Linked DNA regions of Rattus norvegicus. The main gene of each other region encodes a partner of the protein of the gene in region 2 in a complex. Links are inferred from orthologs where the notes say so. Each region holds a gene or a part of one and is shown on either strand. Other genes may lie near its edges.

Evidence for each region. Proteins that work in one complex are often made in the same cells at the same time.
Region 1: Med23 (region 2) and Med1 share a complex: the UniProt entries of both Homo sapiens proteins name them as parts of the mediator complex. The link is inferred for Rattus norvegicus from reciprocal best matches to the Homo sapiens genes MED23 and MED1.
Region 3: Med23 (region 2) and Med31 share a complex: the UniProt entries of both Homo sapiens proteins name them as parts of the mediator complex. The link is inferred for Rattus norvegicus from reciprocal best matches to the Homo sapiens genes MED23 and MED31.

The regions. Positions count from the first base shown.
Region 1 is NC_086028.1:83,682,308-83,687,204, reverse strand, and holds the start of Med1 (mediator of RNA polymerase II transcription subunit 1), read left to right. Parts: upstream 1-1,659; 5' UTR 1,660-1,859; coding exon 1,860-1,884; intron 1,885-2,714; exon of another isoform or gene 2,715-2,789; intron 2,790-4,897. UniProt on the Homo sapiens protein: Component of the Mediator complex, a coactivator involved in the regulated transcription of nearly all RNA polymerase II-dependent genes.
Region 2 is NC_086019.1:22,321,954-22,326,238, forward strand, and holds part of Med23 (mediator of RNA polymerase II transcription subunit 23), read right to left. Parts: intron 4,194-4,285; coding exon 4,019-4,193; intron 2,994-4,018; coding exon 2,830-2,993; intron 779-2,829; coding exon 654-778; intron 1-653. UniProt on the Homo sapiens protein: Required for transcriptional activation subsequent to the assembly of the pre-initiation complex. Component of the Mediator complex, a coactivator involved in the regulated transcription of nearly all RNA polymerase II-dependent genes.
Region 3 is NC_086028.1:57,335,652-57,340,666, forward strand, and holds the start of Med31 (mediator of RNA polymerase II transcription subunit 31), read right to left. Parts: upstream 3,239-5,015; 5' UTR 3,183-3,238; coding exon 3,155-3,182; intron 2,265-3,154; coding exon 2,187-2,264; intron 1,914-2,186; coding exon 1,817-1,913; intron 224-1,816; coding exon 31-223; 3' UTR 1-30. Other genes in the region: C10h17orf100 (uncharacterized protein C17orf100 homolog), read left to right, coding at 3,535-3,936. UniProt on the Homo sapiens protein: Component of the Mediator complex, a coactivator involved in the regulated transcription of nearly all RNA polymerase II-dependent genes.

The DNA of each region.
Region 1 (4,897 bases), on a different chromosome or scaffold from region 2:
CTAAAACCCCAACCCCTGCGGTCAGTCCTCTTAACCACTAAGCCATCTCTCCAGCCCACCAAGGCAACTCTTATAAGGACAACAGTTAACTGGGGCTGGCTTACAGGTTCAGAGGTTCATTATTATCCAAGTGTGAGCATGGCAGCATCCAGGCAGACAGAGCTGAGAGGTCTATATCTCCATCTGAAGGCTGCTATCAGAATACTCTCTTCCATAGGGCTAGGTTGAGGGTATTTAAGTCCATCTCCACACCTACTCCACTCCAACAAGGCCATGCCACCCCCCCCACCCCCCACCCCCCACCCCCCAGCTAAATCCCCAAACCCTAAGGCCATACTTCTTTTTTTTTTTTTTTTTTTCTTTCTTTTTTTCGGAGCTGGGGACCGAACCCAGGGCCTTGCGCTTGCTAGGCAAGCGCTCTACCACTGAGCTAAATCCCCCTGAACGCGCCCGATCTCGTCTGATCTCGGAAGCTAAGCAGGGTCGGGCCTGGTTAGTACTTGGATGGAAGGCCATACTTCTTAATGCCACTCCCTGGGCTGAGCAAACATCACACTGGGATAAGCCCACCAAGCTTGGTTTATGTTGTGCTGGGAATCAACACCAGAGTTTCTGCATGCAAAGCAAGCAGCCATAGGAATTACCCCAGTCCCTTCCTTCTTCCGTCCCTTCTTCCCTCCCTCCCTTTTCTTTCTTTCTCTTAAACAACATAACTGCTGCTTGTTCTTCAGGAAATTTCACCTTCCCACTTTCTCTAGGAATTAAACCCAGGACTTCAGGCACATGAAGCATGTGTGCTACTAGTGAGTTGCACGTCTTGTCATATCACAAATCTTACTTTTAGCCCCGAGGCAGGGTTTCTCTGTGCAGTCCTGGCTGTCCAAAAACTCTGTAGACCAGGTTGGCCTCATACTCACAGACAGCCACCTGCCTCTGCCTTCGGAGCGCTGGGAATAAAGGCACGCACCACAGCCAGGCAAACCTGACTGCCTTTGGCATTACGGATACTAAAATTCATTGGAAATCTTTCAGTAGAGAGATTATTTCGTAACGACTGGTTTTCACTATGGAGCTTGAAGTGGCTATGAATTTGCGATCCTCCTTCCTTTTTGGGATTATAGGAATGTGCTACTTCTCCAGGCGTTCAAAGAGCTAACTTTTTCTGTTGTACTTTGTGTTTTGTTTGTTTGTTGGTTTTTTTTTTTTTAAATTTTTTTTCTTTTTTTTTTCCGGAGCTGGGGACCGAACCCAGGGCCTTGCGCTTGCTAGGCAAGTGCTCTACCACTGAGCTAAATTCCCAACCCCTGTTTGTTTTTGATACAGAGTTTCTCTTTGTAGCAGTGGCTGTCCTGGAGCTCACTCTGTAGATCAGGCTGGCCTCGAACTCAGAGATCCACTGCCTACTGAGATAAAAGGCTTGCGCCACCAACGCTGCGCCAAAGAGCTAACGCTTCTAATTTACAAACGTGTATCTGACAAGATGCAAAGTTTCTAAGAGATGTCAACTCTTTCCACGGAAAGGTGTGAAGACTGAGCCAATCGGAGACAGTCCTGTTGGAAATCCCGCGGGAAGGGCGAATCAGCCAATTTCCGCGAGATTTTGGTGCTGTTCCTTCTTCCTCTGCCTGCAGGAACACGATTAATCTCGCGATCTTTGGGAAGTTCCGTTGGGGAAGATGGCGGCGGCCGCGAGCACCCTTCTCTTCTTGCCGCCGGGGACTTCAGACTGAACCTTCCCCGGAAGAGTGGGGGCCGCTGGTGCGCTGCTTCCCCGGAGTCCAGGCTAACTTGGTTCCCCTCTTAGTGGTGGGGAAAGGCTCCCTGGCTTGTGGCGGACCCAAGACCTCACCGCTGTCAGGATGAAGGCTCAGGGGGAAACCGAGGGTGAGTGACTAGGGGGTGGGGGGGAAGAAGGGGCGGGACACAACTGTGGGGAGCCAATCTGTGAGCGGAGGTGGGGACCCACGCCCCCCCCGTCCCCCCAGGGCCACTGTGCACGGAACTGGATCCAGGTGGATCCTGACCGAGCTTTACGGATGTTGGAGCTCCTACACTGAGGCTCCGCTCCGCCTCGCCTCCCCTTGTGAAAGATTTTCTGCAAGACTAGGGACAAGTAGATGAGCTTCAGGTTACTTTCAGCTTAGCCTGGTGGGTTACCAGGAGAGTGAAACTGAAACTTGATGCTTTGTTCCAGGAGAGATCGCTGAAGATGACACTAGAACAATGTGTCAAAGTGATGGAGGATGTTTTGGTGTGAGTGACATGGTGCGGTCTTTATTATAATAAAAGCTAGTAGTTTCTTGGAATGTCATAGTGTTCAAATACTGTGCTGTGTTTTTAAAAACTACTCTTTCAATTGTTCCTGAATAATGGCTTTAAAGCTCGGGGGAAATGTATTCAGAACTATGAACTAGCAGGAACAAAACCCAAACCACTTTCCCAGTTGAAGGAAGAAAAGGGAAGGGATTGAGTCTTTTTTGTTTTCTTTCAAGACAAGGTCTTCCTGCATCAGCCTCCCAAGTGCCAGCTTAACATACCATCATAGCCAGCTAAGAGTTTAAATCTTGGTTTAACTATCCCCCTCCTAACCTTAACTCAGATAGACTGGCTTATCCAAAATGAAGTCTCGACATTTTTAGGAAAGTGGACGATACTCAAAATAAGCTGTATTTAGCTAATACCACATTTTCTCTTATGCGGAATCTCAATTTAAGTATGTGTTGGCGTGGTGTACTGGTTGTCAAAATATGGGACCATGTGAGAAAGAAGGAGATCTTCAGGATAGAAAGGTAAATGGAGTTTGAACTAAATGGAAGCCTTGACTGTTTTGAGGTTGGGGCAGGGGTGGCTGTCAGAGGAAGAAGACTCAGACCCAGTGTAACATCTTACATCTATAAGAATGCCAAAATGATACCCATTGCTTTGTTTGTTAATTTAAAAATAATTTAGAGGCTGCAGATATTAGAGCAAGGTCGTTTGCCCACAGGTTCAATCCCCAGCACCAAAAGAAAAGGAAAAAAGGAGAAAGCAACAAAAATGAATGATGTCATTGTTTTCATACTAAAAACTAATTATAGAAATGCCTAGCTCAAATTGTGCTCAAAATATATCCTTCAAGGTATTGCATCCCTATGTATGCAATTACAAGTTTTTTGTTTGCTTCAGTGGATAGTTTGAACAGAAGCTGGGCATTGCATACCTGTAGTCTCACCACTGAGAAGGTAGAGGCAGGAGGGGCAGGACTTCCCGACTGCCCTTTCCTTCTCAGCAAGTTCAGGCTCATTTAGGCTAAGTAAGACCTTGTCCAGAAAAAAAAAAAAAAAAAAAGGCTGCCAGTCAGTTGGTAAAATGCTTCCTGTGCATACATGAAAACAGGCCTGAATTTGGTCCCCAAGTGGTGATGATTCATGCCTTTAATCCTAGTACTTAGTAGGCAGAGGCAGGGGGATCCCTCAGTTTGAAGCCAGGCAGGTCTACAAAGAGACAGGACAGTCAGAGAAGCTCTGTCTTAACCCCAACCCCCCAAAATAAATAAAAAAGAAGGCGTCTGGGGGCTGGAGAGATGGCTCAGTGGTTAAGAACACTGTCTGTTCTTCCAGAGGTCCTGAGTTCAAATCCCAGCAACCACATGGTGGCTCACAACCATTTATAATGATATCTAGTGCCCTCTTCTGGCCTGCAGGCATACATGTAGGTAGAATGCTGTATACATAATAAAAAGTCTTAAAAAAAAAAGGCGTCTGTTTATAGTGGCATACAGCCATAGGAGGCTAAAGAAAAGGAGACAAGAGATGACTGAGGAGAGTCTGGGCTGTAATGCAAGCCCGGGTAGAGGGACAAGCATGTGGAGGCCACCCCTTATATTTCTGTATTTGGAGGTGGTCTACTGTAGCTACTGTGGGCTCTGGGGCGTGAACCCAGGCTCTCATGTTTGGCATGGGATGCCTCTACTCAGGGAGCCACCTTGTCAGCCTCCAAGGTCATGCTCAGCTAGATGGACTTGGGGGTCAGCGGGGTGGCGAGAGAATGTCTGAAATGAAGGAAAAGCAGGGAGGGGCTGGAGACAGAGCTGGGGAGTTTTTGGCATGGGTTTAGATTTGGCTCCCAGGAAGCACATGCCCACAGGGCAGCTCACAACCATTTGTAGCTTTAGTTTCAGGAGTCTTGGTGCCTTCTAGCCTCCCTGCACAGACGTGTTATACATGCATGAGTCAAAAAACAAACAAAAAACCAAACACACACAACATAAATCTTTTTTTCTTTAAAGAATATGGGTTTCATGTGTGTAGTGGTTTTGTCTTCCTGTATTTCTGTGTACCAAGTATATACCTGGTGCCCTCAGAGTCCAGAAGAGGACAGCAGATTCCCTGGGACTGGATTTACATGTGGCCGTGAGCTGCCATGTGGGTGATGGGACTTGAACCCAGATCCTCTGAAAGAGTAGCTAGTGCTCTTAAAGGATGCGTTAGGCATTGTCAAACAGTACTTTGATGCCATACTTAAGAGGCAGAGGCAGGTGGATCTATTTGTTCAAAGCCACCCTTTTTAGACCCCGTCTAACACCAAACAAAACAACAAAATGCATCTAGGCCTGGAAGGTTCCACGTACTCATAGGGAAAGGTGAGAACAGGCTGCAGTAAACCTTCTGACCTCCACAGGTGCTATGGCCAGTTCACACCCGTGCTTACACATACGCAGATAACAAACACAGTCTGGTGTGGTTTCTAGTAGCATTTTAAATATTTGTTTTACATATGTGGGTGGTTTGCTAGCATGTATATATATATGTACCACATGTGTGCCTGGTGCCTGTGGAAACCAGAAGAGGGCATCACATCCCCTGGAACTGGAGTTAGATATGTTTGTGAACTTCTGTATGGACGCTGAGAATCTAAC
Region 2 (4,285 bases):
ACATTGTAGCCTCCCTGACGTCATGGAAAATCAATATCCACCATGCCGTAAACCTTCTCTGAGGTTCGCCTTCTCTTTGTTATAGTTTTGTCAAGTTGGTATCTTTGTGCTCTGTGAAGTTTCACTGAAGCCTGTTTCTCTCCATCTTGCTGTCAGCAAAGAATTCTTCAGGAAATGTAACCTCTTGTGAGAGTCTAAAACTGCAGAGAACAGCCTTGCTGGGGCACCAGTGGAAGGGGAAGCCCTTGGTCCCGCCAAGGTTGGACCCCAGTGCAGGGGAATGTGGGGGGGGGATAAGGGGGATGTATGGGGGGATACCCGTATGGGGGAGGGGGAGGGGAGGGATGGGGGCTTATGGACAGGAAACCGGGAAGGGGAATAACCTTTGAAATGTAAGTAAAGAAATACATCTAATAAAAAATTTTAAAAAAAGAAAAGAAAAATGAAACCATAATAATTACATTTTCAGAAACATTTAATCCTCAGTAGGATGAGAAGCAACTCAAGAGATTTGGGAAGTAAAAAGAAGAATTTTCAAAAAGGAAATAGCCAATTTTCTTTAGCTATTACCAAGTCAGAACTCCCTAGAAAGCCACCATGACTGGAAGAAAAGATTCACCGCCTATTTAATATGCACTTCAGAACCAAATTACCTGCAGAGGGGCTGGAAAACAGCTAAGGGTGTGCGAAGCCCAGTTATGAGGAGTAAAAGTCATGATGGTCTGAAGGATATCTTTACACCAAGTTCCCTGTATTGAATCAGATCCTGTAAAAAAATCTAAACAAACAGATGTGAGTCAGCCCTCTATGACCACAAATACATACTGTCAAAGGAAGCAAAAGCATCCATGTACACTGGGGTGTTGTAGTGCGGACACTCACTGTTTACCTATATTTTACTCAGGACCTAAACTCTCTTACTTTGAGAATAACTAGAAGTGACTTGGACTTTTTATTACAACATATGAGCACAATTAGTGAAGAGACAACAAAGGACTTAATCTTTTTTTATTTTTAAAAGGGTCAAGGAGTGGAACTAAAAAAGCAGATGTGGGACTACATGCCCTGTACGTCCCAAGTGTAAATCTCTAAATCAGAGACATTTACTCACAGGAAATAACCGCTTACAAAATGTAGCTGAAATTGATAAATCTGGTATCTTTTCTCTCCTTTTTTAAACAAACAACTCTCACAGTGTACTGTGAACTGCTGAACTGCTGATCTCTAGCAGCTGCCGGTGTCCGTCCGTCCGCCTGCCTGCCTGCCTGCCTTCCTTCCTTCCTTCTTTCCTTCCTTCCTTCTTCCTTCCTTCCATTTTTGAGATAGGGTCTTTTTTTAAGTCTAGGTTTACCTCAACTTTGAAATCCTCCTGCCTCAAACTCTCCAAGTGCTAGGATTACAGGCTTGTGCTGCTATACCTACCTAGTCCTACTGTCCTTTCAAGGATTTGGTGTGTTCACAGCTATTCAAATAACAAACTGCAGCTATCCGTAATGGTACAGCAAAATGCCTGGTTCTCTGCACACTTCTAAGAAGGCCCCAGACTACCCACTATACACTACTACACACCACCTGCAGGAGTCTGAGGGAAAGTGCTCGAATGGCAGTACTCAGGTGCAACAGCTGCCTTTTCTCATGGGATTTCAGTTTTAGGTAGATGAGCATCTGACAGAAAAGTAAGTAATTATGCAGACATGAACATCTGGCAGACGCTCTAGAAAACTAACACTCACCCTGTGTTTTAAGAAGAACATAGAACGGCATCTTCTACAGACGCAGTCTGATGTTTTAGGTGGCAATTAGGAACTGGAAAACTTCCGTCCATGAGTGTGACTGATTTCCCTGATGTAATGATGTTCTATGGAACTACAGTGAGATGTGTTCACATTTGCTACAACTGCTTAACTCGGGGAATGTTTTCCAAATGGTGAATTCATAAAGACCCATACATTAAAAATGTATTCAATACAAAAAATAGGCCAGATGGGCTGGAGAGATGGCTCAGTGGTTAAGAGCACTGACTGCTCTTCCAGAGGTCCTGAGTTCAAATCCCAGCAACCACATGGTGGCTCACAACCATCTGTAATGAGATCTGATGCCTTCTTCTGGTGTGTCTGTGGATAGCTAGAGTGTACTCGTATAAAAATAAATAAATAAATAAATAAATAAATAAATAAATCTATCTTAAAAAAAATAAATAAATAAAAAATAGGCCAGGGATCACAGGGCAGAAAAGTCCACGGACAGGACTGGGTTTCACAGCTGATATTGAAGGACACGCAGCTATCTGAAAAGCCTAAGGTGGCCAAGCCTTTCTTCCCTTGGCTGTGTCTGTGAGAAGCCATGCTTCCTCGTGTGCTCTAACACCGTAGCATCCTCGTACTGAAGCATATAAATGCTCCAGAGGCAGACGGGAGAAACCACCCGTGCTCGCTTACTCCACACATTAAAGGACAACGTCAGACTAAAACAAAAGCACCACTTCCCACCAGAGTTGTGTTGTAGAAAACCCCGTTTTCATAAATGTTACTTATACTGATGTTATATGCTGCATTACTTTTAATAAATAAGCACTTTTAAAAACTTCTCTATTCTAATAACTAACATACTTGTTCATGTGCAAATGAAAATCCATAAAAAGAAAATCTTTGGGAATTTCCTCAGTCAGAATGACAGTGCCACGGGATTCCATTTTTGACTGATCCGGAGCAGAGCCTAGAGCAACTGGCTCGCTTTCCCTGAAAGGTACCTCCTTGGCATGTGCTCCCACAGGGAGTGGTCTGAGAGGAGCGGCACGATGTATGTTAGCGTCCCTTGCAGGATCTCTACCTGTGACGTGGGTTGCTCTGGCCAAGGTCAGGATCAAGGCTCGGTTCAGCTCTTCAGATTCTGCGGACAGCACTGTTTTGGGATCGTTGAGGAAGCGTGTAAACTGCGGCTGGACCTCGGAGCTCCCCAGCGCCGTGATGAGCCTCAGCGCAGTACTTTCTACGCTGAAAGCAGGAACGCAGTTGACACGCACGTTGGCAGACCCCAGTGCAGAGGTACGAACATGTAATAACACAAAGGTTACACATTGCCCTTCTTTTTGATGCTAAATTGTACAATCTGAAGCAGCTGACCTCTGTACACATTTGACAAAGAGAGCCCTAGGCTAGAAGAGACCCTTCTCCTAGACAGACAGCATTTCAGTAACACCGTACTACTAGGTAGGCAGCACACACTTGCAGAGTCAGTACGGTGGCCCCCGTGGGTCCACAGGGAGTGGCACTATTAGGAAGTTGGGCCTTGGAATACACATGGCTTCATTGGAGGGGATGAGTGAATAAGAGGCCTCAGAAACTCAACAATCAGGTCCTTCTTCAGCACCATGTCCTCCTGCATGCCCCCATGCTTCCCTTCATGATGATAATGGCCTAAACCTCTGCACCTGTGAGCCAGCACCAACCAATGCTGTCCCCTGGTAAGAGTTGCCATGGTCACGGGGTCTGTTCACAGCAACAGAACTCTAAGAGAACCAGCATTTAGGAGGCAGAGGCAGGGGATCAGGAATTTTTATCTTGTGTCGGCTACAAAAATGAATTCCAGGTCAGCTTATGCTACAGGACACTGTGTCCCCTCCTCCATTAAGTTACAGATTTCCATCTGAAATACGTCTTCACTTAAATCAAAATGGAAATGATACTTTTTTTTTGGTTTTCAAAACAGGGTTTCTCTGTGTAGCCCTGGCTGTCCTGGAACTCACCCTGTAGACCAGGCTTGCCTTGAAATCACAGAGATCTGCCTGCCTCTGCCTCCTATAAAATGATGCTTTAACCAGGACTTGACACATATGCAAATCCAATTTCTTTTAAAAACTTGGATTCCAATCTTTCACTGTAATTATAGTATCTTAGAAGCAGAATTTAAATTTTATGGCAAATAAGAAAAAAGTGGGGGTGGGGAAGATTAAGATCCCCACTTCCAAGCATGGGCGGGCTAAACCTCAGGGGAGGCAGCCTGCAGGCTACTCACTCACCACAGATGGAGCTGGTTCTGGTTGGTTTGTGCAACTGCAGCCAGGGTGTGGAGATGGCTCAGGAGCTGAACTCGGTAATGTGGCTGAATGTGGTGCATCCGGTGGCTGAACATCTCCAGCAGCGTGTGCAGGATGCCCCAGGCATGGGACTTGAAGACAGTGGGCAGGAGCTGACCTACCACAGGCAGAATTCCGGTACCAGTTAGTAAAAGGACCTCCCTGTATATATCTGAAGACTGTCACTCAGGACGTATGTGAAACTACGAC
Region 3 (5,015 bases), on a different chromosome or scaffold from region 2:
CATGTCCTAGAGCCTGCTGTTGCCAGCTCTTCATTTTCCTGCTGTGGTATTCTGCTGCTGCTGCTCTGCTAGGGCTTGCTGAAGACGCATCCGCTTCCTCGAATAGTGCTGCCAGTGCAGAATCTGCTGTTCGTCAATGAACTTCGCACACTGAGCATTCACCAGCTCCTTTCGAAAGTGTTCATATTGGAGCAGTTCTAACATATGCAAACACTGAGGGTACCTGGGTTTAAGTTCATAAGTCAATTATCAACATAATTTAAGGCATCCCAAGTTCTAAATCAGATACTCCCCTAAAAATGATCTCAAGCCCACCATTTCTACTACTATGGTACCTTTGGTAAAATCACTCCTACCATGTTATTCAGAACATTATGCAAGATATAGTGGAGTTATTTCACAACTTCTCTCGAATTTAAACATCTATAGCTGTTACCTCCAAGAGGACACAGATGAACAGAATAAGGAACAAGCCTACAAACGGCTTAGAGCTACAAGGAGGTGTATTTGATCAGAGTATATAAGAAGAGCTCCCTTACCTCTGGCTATCAATGGAGTAAGCTGCCTCTAATAGTAGAGGGACCTATGATCATAGGGAGCCTCCAACAGAGCGGAGACAATCATCTTTCAACAGCTGGGCTGGAGAGACTGAGCTTGAAGGTGGCTAAAAGTTTGCTAACATGTAACATGTTATACTTTTCTTTCTTTTTTTTTTTTTCTTTTTTTTTTTTTTCTCGGAGCTGGGGACTGAACCCAGGGCCTTGTGCTTCCTAGGCAAGCGCTCTACCACTGAGCTAAATCCCCAACCCCATACTTTTCTAATAGTAATTTCAAGCCTATCATTTGGATTCCTAGAGGAATCTAGAATTGCATCATGAAGAGCAAATCTACAGGCAGCCCAGGAATCAAGTCAGAAAAATGACTACGATTAAAAAAAAAAAAAAGGTTTGAAATGTTTTCCTCTAATTTTTAAAATAGGGTCTCTCTGTGTGGCCCTGAATGGCCTGAAGCTTGCAACATAATCAGGCTGGCCTCAAATTCACGGAGATCTGCCTGACTCTGCCTCTTGAGAGCTGGGATTAAAGGGACACCAAGCTACTTCTGGGGTTTTTGTTGTTGTCCCCTCCTTTGGGGCAGTGTCTAGACAGGGTTTACCTGGGTAGAGTGGCTGTCCTGGAAGCAGCTCTGGCCTTGAACTCACACATGCGCCCGCCTCTGCCTCCCAAATGTTGGGATTAAAGCCAGCTTGGCTTTCTTTTCTCTTTTTAAGTCAAAGCAGAGTTTGATGTGATATTGTTGTGTCTGTTCTTTTACAGTGAGTTAATACGCACAGTGATTGAAACAAAGGACACCACAAAGAAAGGCAGGACCTCTAAGACTCTCAGGAAACAGTTCTTCCTACCGTCACAGGTTATGGGTTGTTAGGCCTCAAAACCCCAGAAAGACAGGGGCAGTGCTAAGTGACATGGTTAGACACGACCAAATTACATTAGAACTGTAGTCTACAACAGTTCACTGGATCTTAGCCTGCACGAACAGTATGCTCTGACTTACACTGCCAAGAGAGTAAGCTGGCTCCCACGTAGACAGTTCTTTGGTTTTGTTTGAAGGGAGTGAGGTAAGAATGGTAGCAGAAATAAATGAAATTCCTGTCATAATCAACCCAAGTTAGAGATAACAGCGTCTTACATCAACTAAAAGCAGAAAGATCCCAAATGCTGTTTTCCATTCTGACACCGAGAAAACTGCTAAATAATAGCACTTAGTATTTATAATAAAGTACACACAGCTTTGGGATTTTAAAAATTAAACTTACTTTAGATATTTGGCATATTCTGGTTCTTTCCAGTAAAGCAAGTACTTAAGATAATTAACAAAAGCTTTGTCTTTGAAGTAACCTCTTTGGGCGAGAACTGAAAGACACAAAGAAACACTCTGTATGTCAACCACTGCTGGGCTGCTGATCTGTAATCTCTTAAGTAAAGTAGCTCTTCTTAACATCCCTACCGACAAAACACAAGGGATTAAAAAACACAAGCCCTTGTTTGCTCAGTTGATACTTACAGACCAGCACAAGTAAAACCCCAAACACATCGAAGTAAATAAATACTATTACAAATTGCATCTCTTCTCAGAAACCATTAAGATCTAGTGAGCTACTTAAGTTAATGATGTACTTAACTTACAATTAAGGTAATTTGGGTTGGCTAAACATTGCACAAATTCCAACTCCAACTGAAACCGAAGTCGATTTCCAGCATCATCTAGGAGAAAAGACAGTAAAAAAAAAAAGAGAAAGAAGGAAGGAACGATCACCCAAAATAAAAGTCACAATACAAACATTGATTTGTAGAAACAAAAATAAAACGCAGGTCAAACAGCTCAGCAAGTAAAGGTGCTTGCTGCAAAGTCTGATGACCTGAGTTCGATTCCTGGAACCTACAGGGTTGTAGGAAGACAACCGATTTCTGCAAGTTGTCCTCTAACCTTGGCATGCACCGCCGCTCACCCCCATAAACACACACACACATGCACACTCATGAATGAACTCAAATATCAAAGTGTGGAAGAAACTTCCTTAGAAATTTAGTTTAATTCACTACTTAGTGAGCCCTGTTTCCAAAACAAAAATAGTAATAAAAAAATCCTTTAAAGTTCGTTGAGGAAAAAATATGTAGAACCTGTACGCCACTGTGGAAGGACGTGAGCGGAGATTATCGGATAGTCTGCAATAGCTGTACGGTTCCCTATGTTGTTATAACCACAACTAATTACGTTAAGCAAAAACAAAGTGCTACACAAAAACGAAGCAGGAATGATTAAACAATGGAGAGAAGACGGTGATATGCATTAGAATACACAGGTTACCGACATTTCAGGCAAGTTTGGAGAAGTTCCAAAGAGCAGACAGTGGAAGGTCTCAGTCCTTTCTATGCGCCCCGGCCCGCCCCGCGAGTCAGGGTTGGAGTAGGGGTTAGAGCAACACAGGAGCAAAGTTGGTCCTACAGGCCATATTCTGGGGGGCAACACCGCCTTCTCCTCCGCCGGTCCCAACTCTAAGGATGAGGAGTTGAGCCCGGAAGACGGCGCAGGGGAAGGGAAACGGGAGAGGATTTTGGGGCGAAGGACCATTCCCGTGCAAAACACAACGCACCTGTCTCCATAGCGACGGCCGCGGCCATAGCAAGCAGAAAGGCGCAAACACTACCAACCCGACCCAACCGCAGCCCGGATTGGTGAAGGAGAATCCGGAAGTCACGGGTCCTACTTCCGGTCGCGGGGCAGAGTGGGACACGAGGGCGGGGACAACTTCACTTTGGGGAAGAGTGGCCCCGCCCATCTGTGCGGACCGGGCCGACTGCGCGCGCAGATATCGAGCGGGGCGTGCCGGAGGGCTTCTCTGATTTCAGGTCTGAGTCCTGCTGCCTACTCTGATGTAATACACCTCTCTGACGTCACCTTCCCCCGGGTGGCGTGACGCAGAGCATGATCCTTGGGCTTCTTTGTTCCTCCTGACCAAAGTGTACGGGCAGGATGGCCTCGCCCCTTAGGAGCAAGTCCTCCGTCCCGCGAGTGGAAAGCACCCGCCACAAGGAGACATCGACTGTCCGCATGGAGACGTCGTCCCACCGCGAGGAAACGTCATCCCACCGCGTGGAGACGTCCTCCCGGCAGGTTCTAACGTCTTCCCGGCAAGTGGAGACCTCCCAGCGCCACCGAGAGGGACCCTCCCTCACCCCCTCCGCGAAGCGACTCCCTCAATTCCTCGAGGTGTCCTCCCAGCACGTGGAAACCTCCTCGCAGTGCATGGAAACGTCCTCCCGCCACGTCAGGGCGTCGTCATCCCTGCGGGTGGAGACTACTGTGCACCGCGTAGAGAGCCCAGCCAGGCGAGACAAGCAAGCCACTCGGCAGAGTGCCAGAATGACTCGATGAAGTGCCATGGTCCTTAGCCAGGACTGAGGAATTGCCAGCCAGCTTCCAGGAGAGCCAAGTATCTTTGGTTTCATGGAAACAGCCCATAAAACAGTGTAAGAAGCAGGCTGTGGTTTCTGGGCACTGTTAACATGTATTGACATTGCAGCACCTTAGTCCATCCTGCTGTTGACCCAGCGTACTATTAACCTGAAGCCAGCACAGAAAGGTTTCCGATTTGTAGTACTGTGTAAACCCAGACGATGGACAAAGAGATTCTTTGAGTCTCTACACCAGGTAAGTTTTATAGTCTTAGGTCCCTCTAGAATGTGTTGACGACTTGAAATCTGCGAAGAGGGGCCAGATTTGTCATGTTTCTTGACTACTGGCCTGATCATATACCTGCTTGAAACCTACAGAGCAAGGCATCATCTTTCACAAATTGTTAATTACCCTTTAATAATATTTATATTTCATAATAAGTTTTCTCGTGTTAAGTTGTTATACACAGTATTCCATCTACACTTTAAAAAATAGGTCAGGAGCTATTAGAAAAATAAGGGCAGGGCAATTGAGAAAAAAAAATACTAATCTTGGGAGGGAACGTGAAGAAGCAGCCATGACACTTGGTCTGGGGCGTGAGATTGGCAGAGGATGGTTACTGAGTACCTACAGCATGCTTGGTACCAGTCAGAACTTGTCGGCTATAGCAGTGGAAAAGACTAAGATCTTCTCAAGTGAAGAGAAAGTAAGACGATGTTCTGTTGTATTCCTGTGAAAGATAAGGTATCTATCTTGTGGTAGCGAGTAGGGCGCTCTTTCGAGAACATGGTCAGGGAAAGCCTTGCTGATGACACTTGGTCTGAGATTGTGTGGGTTAGCAGCAAGCCATATCAGGATCTACAGGGAAGTACATTTTACACAGTACATTTTAAAAAAAAAATTGGAGATGTTTATGGAAGAGAAAAAGCAGTGTATGAGATTGTGGTATAATGGGGGGGGGTGGAGAATATGCCAATTCATATAGAGTCTTGGAAATCCCAGTGGAGAGTTTGAATTTTATTCTGAGACCATCAAAAAAATTTGATGCAAGGGAGCAA